2 linked regions of the Ovis aries genome follow. The protein of the gene in region 1 interacts with the protein of each later gene in a pairwise test. Links are inferred from orthologs where the notes say so. Each region holds a gene or a part of one and is shown in the gene's direction. Other genes may lie near its edges. The genes, in order: PPP2R1A and CSDC2.

Evidence for each region.
Region 2: the proteins of PPP2R1A (region 1) and CSDC2 interact in binary tests that used the Homo sapiens proteins (3 or more experiments, as listed by UniProt). The two-hybrid records come from large-scale screens. The link is inferred for Ovis aries from reciprocal best matches to the Homo sapiens genes PPP2R1A and CSDC2.

What each region holds. Positions count from the first base shown.
Region 1 is NC_056067.1:58,174,778-58,178,419, forward strand, and holds the end of PPP2R1A (serine/threonine-protein phosphatase 2A 65 kDa regulatory subunit A alpha isoform), read left to right. Parts: intron 1-147; coding exon 148-302; intron 303-1,552; coding exon 1,553-1,695; intron 1,696-2,361; coding exon 2,362-2,453; intron 2,454-2,582; coding exon 2,583-2,599; 3' UTR 2,600-3,001; downstream 3,002-3,642. UniProt on the Homo sapiens protein: The PR65 subunit of protein phosphatase 2A serves as a scaffolding molecule to coordinate the assembly of the catalytic subunit and a variable regulatory B subunit.
Region 2 is NC_056056.1:218,462,483-218,466,892, forward strand, and holds the start of CSDC2 (cold shock domain-containing protein C2), read left to right. Parts: upstream 1-1,485; 5' UTR 1,486-1,581; intron 1,582-4,410.

The sequences.
Region 1 (3,642 bases):
AGCCCTCTCTTTTTCTCTGCGAGTTTATGGGTTCTCGTGTGGCCTGGTACCTGGGGCTGCTCTGCAGGCGGGAGCAAGTGTGACTGAGTCCCCACCTGCGTCAGTCCTTCACCTCCTGAGTCTCCCTCTCCCCTCCTCCTCCCACAGTCTATGCCATCCGCGAGGCGGCCACCAGCAACCTGAAGAAGCTGGTGGAGAAGTTCGGGAAGGAGTGGGCCCACGCAACTATCATCCCCAAGGTCTTGGCCATGTCTGGGGACCCCAACTACCTGCACCGCATGACCACACTCTTCTGTATCAATGTGAGCGCCCACCGGCCCCCACCTCTCCCTGGGGGAGGGGAAGTAGACGGGAGAGGAGGAATGGAGAAGGTCCTCGGGGGAAAGCTGGCTTGGGAGTAGGAAAGTGATGGGATCTGGGGCCGTAGGGGTTAGTCCTTGGGGAACTGCAGGCTGGAACTTGGGGCTCCCTGGTCAGAGTATAGGGCCTTTGCAGGTGGGGACCTGCGTGGGGGTGACTGGGGAAATTTGGCCAACAGAACAGTGATGGCCAGGTCTGTCTGAGCACCCCCTCCTTCCTCACAAAATAAGTGATATTTATGATACAACGGTTAAAGCACAGTTTCTAGAATCAGACCTACTGTTTAATTCTAGCTCTGCCACATATTGACTGTGCACCTTGAGAAAATTACTTAGTGCCTCAGTTTTCTCACCTGTAAAGGGTTCATACCAACAATCACAGCCCCAGACTCCCGAGGCTGTGACATTGATCTGGTTATACAGCTTAGAACAGTGGTTCATATGTAATGTATGGTGTGTATGTAATATGCATATGTATAGTGTGTATGTAATACATAACGTATGGGGTGTGTGTGTGTGACACGTAACGTATGCTGTGTGTATATATGGTGTGTGTGTGATATGTATGCTGTGTGTGTGTGGTATGTAATGTATGGTGTGTATGTGATGCATATGTATGCTGTGTGTGTGATATGTATGCTGTGTGTGTGATATGTATGCTGTGTGTGTGATATGTAAATGTGTGATAAATAAATACAGTAGAAAGTACTGATAGATAAATACAGTAGAAAGTACTTGTATGTAGTCACGTAAATAAACCATACACTTAAATAAACTTAAAACCACTTAAACCACATAACTACAAATTAAAGAATGAGATTTAAAAGTTAGCATAAAATTGTTCCGGTAATCCCTTCCTGTGCATCACTCTGGAGACCACAGCACTAAGGAAGGGATCCCAGGGTCAGGAATCCAGTCCCATCCCCAGAGGATGAGGGAGACTCTGAGGAAGGGAGCTGGGGTGGGACAGTGTGGGCTGGGGGTTTTCAGGGCAGGGAGATGGTGGAGTGAAGAGGGTGTTAGGGAACCTGGGAACTTGTGGAGAATCAAGGCCCTCAGGCTGGGCGAGTCTGAGCTCAGAGTCCCCCTGATGCTCAGCTAGTTTTATCCCCAAGCCCGATGGCCACTAAGTGTCCCGGTCAGAGGGAGCGAGGACTCTGGGGAGTCACCCTCTGCTGCTCCCTGGCCTGCAGGTGCTGTCCGAGGTCTGCGGGCAGGACATCACCACCAAGCACATGTTGCCCACCGTGCTGCGCATGGCCGGGGACCCTGTCGCCAATGTCCGCTTCAACGTGGCCAAGTCCCTGCAGAAGATCGGGCCCATCCTGGACAACAGGTGAGGCCTGCCCCTCCTCCACACACGATTGCATTTGTATCAACTTCAAAAATGGATCAAGGGGGACGCAGGCGATGGAAGTGAGAATGGTGGTTATTTTGGGGGAAGGGCCTTGGGACGCCTGCACCTGTCTGTCCAGGACACAGCTTCACCCCTTAGCTTCTCTCTGAAGACCGCCTTCGTCCCCCAAACAGCTGACTGCCGCTGCAGAAGCATTTCCCTCGGCCCTTACCTCCCTGGGCCCCTGTAGGGCCGAGTCCCTCCCTCAGGTGCTCGCCTCTCCTGTTACTTGTCAGCAATTTGATCTGCCTTCTCCCAGTCTGGGCTCCGTGTGGGTGAGAGTCAGGAGGGTTGGGTTTTCCACTGTGTCCACACCTGATGGGCAGTAGGCCTCGGTATATAATGTTACACAAATACAAGGCGTCACGTGGCCGAGGCTCAGAGACTTGAGGGTTCTGGGTTTTCTGCCCCACCTTTCCACACCACCTCACCTCCCTATACCTATTCTGGGCCCCCGAGGCCTCTGTCCTGGTTTGTGAGACTTTCAGCCTTCCAAGTACTGGTTGCTCTGGCCCTGAGAGCTCTCGTGCACCTGTGTGTCTGCGTCTGTGCAGACACCCAGCAGCCCCACCTTTCTGACCCCTCGCCTTTCCCCTCTCTTCCCAGCACGCTGCAGAGTGAGGTCAAGCCCGTCCTCGAGAAGCTGACCCAGGACCAGGACGTGGACGTCAAGTACTTTGCCCAGGAGGCTCTGACTGGTGAGGCGTCAGGAATCCGAGACGCTGGCAGGAGCGGGTGGGGGTCTGCGAGGGCGATGCTTGGCCTGGGAGCGGCTGTGGGCAGCGGGCTGGCTGCCTTCTGACTCCCGTCTCTTCCTGTTCCCCCAGTTCTGTCTCTTGCCTGATGCTGGAAGAGGAGCCACCGCCAGCCTCCGGTGTCCGCCCTCCCCCTCCAGGCTCCTCCCTGGGGGGACAGTGGGGGCCTTTGGCTGTCACTCCCTGTGCATGGTCTGACCCCAGGTCCCTTCCCCGGCACGGTTCCTCCCTCAGCCTGGGACATCCACCCCCCCACGGGGCTGGGGGCGCACAAGGTGGGACAGAGCAGAGACCCTGGGAGGAAGGGGCCACTCCCGCCCTTTGGGGTGAGGCGGGAGCATCCCAGGTCGCCGGCTCCTGCTGCTGTATGGGGACCCCTCCCCCATCTCCACCTCCCTCCCTTCCTCTCGGTGGGTTTTTTGTGTCAATTGTGCTGTTTTTATTTTATTCCCTTGCCCCCCTTTTCACAGAGAAATAAAGGTCTAGAAATAGCTGGTCCTCTGGTCTTAGTCACTAGATGGAGAAGGGGGCACCACCTCAGGGCCCCAGCCTTGCGCTTCTGTCTGGCGAGGACTGACTGGACTTGCCGCATCCCTGTCCTTGCGAGTGAGGAGGATTCCCTGGGAAGCCGATGGGAGTGCCCCTGGCCCCAGGGGCCAGCGGAGTCCTGAGGTGCACTTAGGTTTCACAGAGGCTGGCTGAGTGTGTGGTGGTTAGAGCAGGTGCCTTGGTGCCAGACTGCCTGCGTCCAGATCCTTGTCCTTCCATTAATAGCTGTGTGGCCTTGAGTAGGTGCCCAGTCTCAGATTGCAGGACTGTAAAATGGGGTAACAGACTCTAGATTGAGCGGGGCAGGAATGAAGACTAAACGAGGTAATACACACAGCGTGGGCAGTGATTGACGCGTGAGAAGAGTGGGCCAGGAGCTCTCAGGATCATCAGGGCCGCGGCAGAGCAGGCTGGGGACTGTGGCTAGACAGAACCACTGGTTCTCTCTCAGTGTCTTTTCTTCTGTTTCTTTAGTACTGATTAGACACCTGTATTTTCAGTTGGGCACATGGCTGCCTGGATTCAAGGCATTTTCACAGGGTCTCTTGAAATTTGGTGTGGCATTGCAGCTAAATTCGGGCCA
Region 2 (4,410 bases), on another chromosome or scaffold:
CTCCAGAGAGATCCTCCCTGACTACTTCCCTCTGCTGGCCCGTGATCCACCGTGCAGCCATCAGGACTCAAGGCTGGCCCAGCTCCGGACCTCTCTACTTCAGGTACCGCCTTTGGGACTTCCTGGTGGCCCTGCAGCAGGGACTCTGTGCTCCCTACGCGGGGCCGGGGATCGACCCTGGTCAGGGGGCCAGAGCCCACATGCCAACACCAAGACTCAGCACGACTAAATAAATACACAGATATTTTAAAAATATGTTTTAAAAAGTCACTGCCCTTGTGCCAGAGAAGTTCTCTTCCTGCAGTTCTGACCACATCATTTGTCCATTGACTCCTACGTCACACAACTCACTGGCTCGCCCTCAGTGCCTCTTGCTAGCCTCTTTTATTAGGTATTTGTATCTTTCTGGTCTCCCTTAAGACTCTCTGCTCCTTTTTATTTTAATAAGACTTCTTTGGAAAATGCCAGGCTGCGTCAGCTGTACTAAAGATATATGAAGGACCGACTTTCTTCTTTCCTGAGGAGAAGGGATGGGTAGGGGAACGAGGAGCCAGTCTTTGGGGGGGGCCTCCTCCAGCCAGGCTTGTACACAAGCTGCCCTGGAGCCTCCAACAGCCCTCTCAGCAAGGGCCTCCTTCTCTGCTTTCCAGAGCTCATGGGGGACCAGAGTCGTGAGAAGCTTGCCCAGGTCACCCAGCTTGGAAGCGCTAGGGCGGAGACTCATACCCAGGCCTTCCCAGGCTGTGGAGTCTGTGTGTGTGTGTGTGTGTGTGTGTGTGTGTGTGTAGCTACCTTTCACTCCCTTAGGGGCCTCTTCAATTCAGTTCAATCCAGCAGAAACAGCTCAGGGTCTGCCACGGGCTAGACAGAGGAAGACATGAGTTCTTGCGACTAGACTTGCCCACATGGGTTCACTGAGGAGGAGCCCAGAGCCAAGGGAGGAGGGAGCAGTGGAGGGCAGGAGCCACTCTGCCGAGGGGACAGAAAGGAGAGGGAGGCTGGCGAGTCCCTGGGGCCCTGCTGCGGCCTCCACTCTTCCAGACTCACCGTCCACCCCACAGCCTCCTGGCAGACACACAGACAAACACACACACACACTCACCACCCTCCTTGCTCTCTAACTGCCAGGAATGCAGGCTGTCCCCAAGCTCTTCCCCCTTGCATTCCTCAGCAGCTACTCCCACCTGGCAGGGCAAATTATACCCTGGCCTGGCAATAAAAGCCACTTTCCAGAAAAAGAAGCTTCGGGGCCCCCGAGAGACGCAGCTCACTCTCTCACATCGCCCGTGTCTGACTCAGGGGCCCGGTGTCCCTTTAAGCAGGGAGTACAAATTCCCACCCCGGTCCCTCCCTCCTGCTCTTCCTGACGTCAGGAGGAAGGCGTGTGTGAGTGAGTGAGGGGCCTGAGGTGCCGCATGCTCACACACACACACACACACACACACACACACACACACACGGAGTCAGACACAGAGCACATCTCTCAGACCCATCCCTGCTCATCAGCTCCAAGCACGCCAGAGAGAGGCCGAGTCTGAACGGCTGCGGGAGGCTGTGTGGGACCTCGGCCGTCAGAGAGAGGTAAGGGGCTAGACCCTGGGGCCTCAGGCGCTCCGGCCCTGGAAACTGGCTCTAACGATGGGGGGGCAGAGGGAGGTGCAATGGCGGGGGTGGGGTGCTCTGGGAAGGTGGGCCCCCTCCCCTGGGGCTGGCCCAGCCCAGTCCAGTTTACAGAGGAGAGGCAGGCATGTGTGAGCGTGGAAGAGCCCACCCGGCCATCCCGCCCCCCTCCCTTGCTCTGCCTGGCCCCCAGGGGAAGCTGAGGCTGCATGGTTCCCTGTGAAAGGGCGTGGGTATGTGTGTGTGTGTGTCTGGGACTTATGTCTGGCTCAAGAGGCAGAGAACAGCAGACACCTGCCAAGCTGTAGCCGCAGCCTCCTGTCTGGGAACCAGAGGGGAGAGAAATGACTGGAGAATAATTGGGTTTCTACCAGACGCTGAAAGCAGAGTGCATCAGGGAGCGACATGGATCGTTCCCCCTGGAATTTGGGGCTGGGGCCAGGGAGGGACCGTCAGGGGTGGTGGTGGGGGGGCGGGGTGGCCAGCAGACAGTTGGACCTGGAGCAGCTGTCTCATCCTGACTCTGTTTCTTCCGCGATGTGTTGGGGATAATTGGGCTAATTGGCTTGGAGAGGTGGCTCCACGCTTTTATTTCCCCCTTGGCCTTGGAGCCACCCCTACCAGGAGCTTTTGCTTCTCCCAAGGCCACTCCTCTCCCCTGCAGGCTGGTCTCGAGCTGACCTCCACCCTTGCCAGGGCGCAGCCCCTGGAGGGCAGGGGTGATCAGCCAGGGTCCACTGGATCCTGTGCCGTGGGATTCATGTACTCAGGCAGCCTTGGGTAGTAGTGCCAAGTCCCCAAGTGGCCTGACCCTGGCACAAGGAGTCCAGGCAGAGATAAGGGGTGATGCTGGCACCCACAAGGGAGACAGCAGGTTCCTGCCAATCTGCCAGCCTGCAGACTCTTCCCAGGGAGAGGGGAGGGGGCCGCGGGGAGCGAGAACAATAATAAATACAGACTGTGAACTGCCTCATCCGCTGGGGTTGGGGGAGGGGAGGAGGAAGTGCACCCGGGTAGAGGGTGGGCCACCTTTCCGAGAGCTCCAGGGGAGGCCTCTCCCTGGGAAGGGACTGTCTGCAGCCCCCTGGGGGATGAAGCGCCTTTCCTGCAGGCCTGGCTCTGTCTCAGAAGCCTCTGAGTCCACCAAATTCTGGGTATCTCCTCCCCTCAGCGTTTCCTTGAAGTCTTTTCCAAAAACATCTATTTCCCATATCTGCCCCGCCCCTCTGGGTCTGTCTGACCCTCCTCCAAAAACAAACAACAAAAAGAAAAGACAGGTGTAAGTAGGAACCAGCTCACAAGGGCCTGGGAGAGGCCAGAGGACAATCTTGGCCACAGAGGTTTCTCCCAGGGATGGGCAGTGGTCACGGAAGTCCACTGGCCGTGGGGGGAGCCTCCCTAGGAGGAACTCGGGGGTCCCACACTGCTGGCTGGTGAGGGAGGGAAACCCGCAGGCTGGTCTGGAGGCAAGCCCCCAGGAGTGGCACCAGCAGAGGGCGCTCAGGGCCTGGCCGAGCTGATCATATTGGTCACAACTAGCACGGCCAGGATCTGAAGCCTGGTGGGAAGAGGGCTCGGGGCAATTCAGACCTTTGTCCACGCAGACTATTAGGATGGGAGACAAGAAGCAACGGGGCGGGTCTTCCCCCCTGCCCCAAGCCAGCAAAATGATGGGCACCAGGATAAGTGGCCTGGCATTTGAGTTCAAGCTCAGCCACTCTTAAGTGTGACTTTGACCCGTCCATTCCTCTTTCCAAGGAGGGCTCAGAGTGGGAAAGCAACTTGCCCACGGTCATACAGCCCGGCGGGGCTGGGATGTGAGGGCTCTCTCATGGTGCCCATCCTGGCATCCATACCCTCACTAATGCCCACAAAGCCCAAAGGCCTTGATCATAGGAGCCCTCCAGGGCAACCTGGGGACATGACAAGGAGGAGAGTTAAAGGGTCTCAATTAAGCTCGAGTATTGGCTGGGGCAGTGCCCCCCCCCCCGTGCCTGCCCCGTACACACACGCGCACACACACATGCACACACACACACACACGCTGTGGGAGAGGGAAAGAACCAGGTTTAATTAGGTCACCTCCAGCTGCTCCAGTAGCTTTGGCACTGACGTATTTTAAGGAGTGTCTGAGAGGCTGGGAGAGGGCAGGGGCACTGGGGAAGAGCCAGCTTCTGCCTGGTGGGCTTGAGGCTGTCTCCTCGCCTTCCTCAGGCCCACCCTGGGTAAGCCCTCAAAGTCCGGAAAGCCCTTCTGCCATCACCCCGTGTTCCCTGTCCTTCCCCCTAAGCCATCAGACTCACGCCTCCCACTGTCTGTCCCTTCTCAGTGGGGGCTTGGGCTGGGATGCTTTTATGGAGGGTGTTGTTTTTAAGCTTGCCGTAGTCGGCAAGTGACTCACCCAAGGTCACGGTCTGAGTCAGCACAAAGCCAGGAATAGAACCCCAAGCCCCGCTCTTCCTTCTGCAGGGGCGGCGGGAGCTTGCAGGGACGCGCAGGTCCTCCCTCCCTCCCTCCTGCCTGAGGCCTCTGTCCCAGCCCCCCCAACCAGGATGCTAAAGTGCAGGCCCCAACTGGCTGTGTGACCCCAGCAAGACTCTTCACCTCTCTGGGCCTCAGTTTACTCCTCTGAAGAATGGGGTTATAATGATAATTACCTTGTAGGGCTGTTGTGAGGAATAAATGAGGAAAGGGGGCAAAGGGCTTGCACACCTCTTGGCACGTGGTTACTAATCCATCGATGGTGGCCATGATCTTGTTGTGACCAGCCACCCTGTGTTCTTCTTGTCT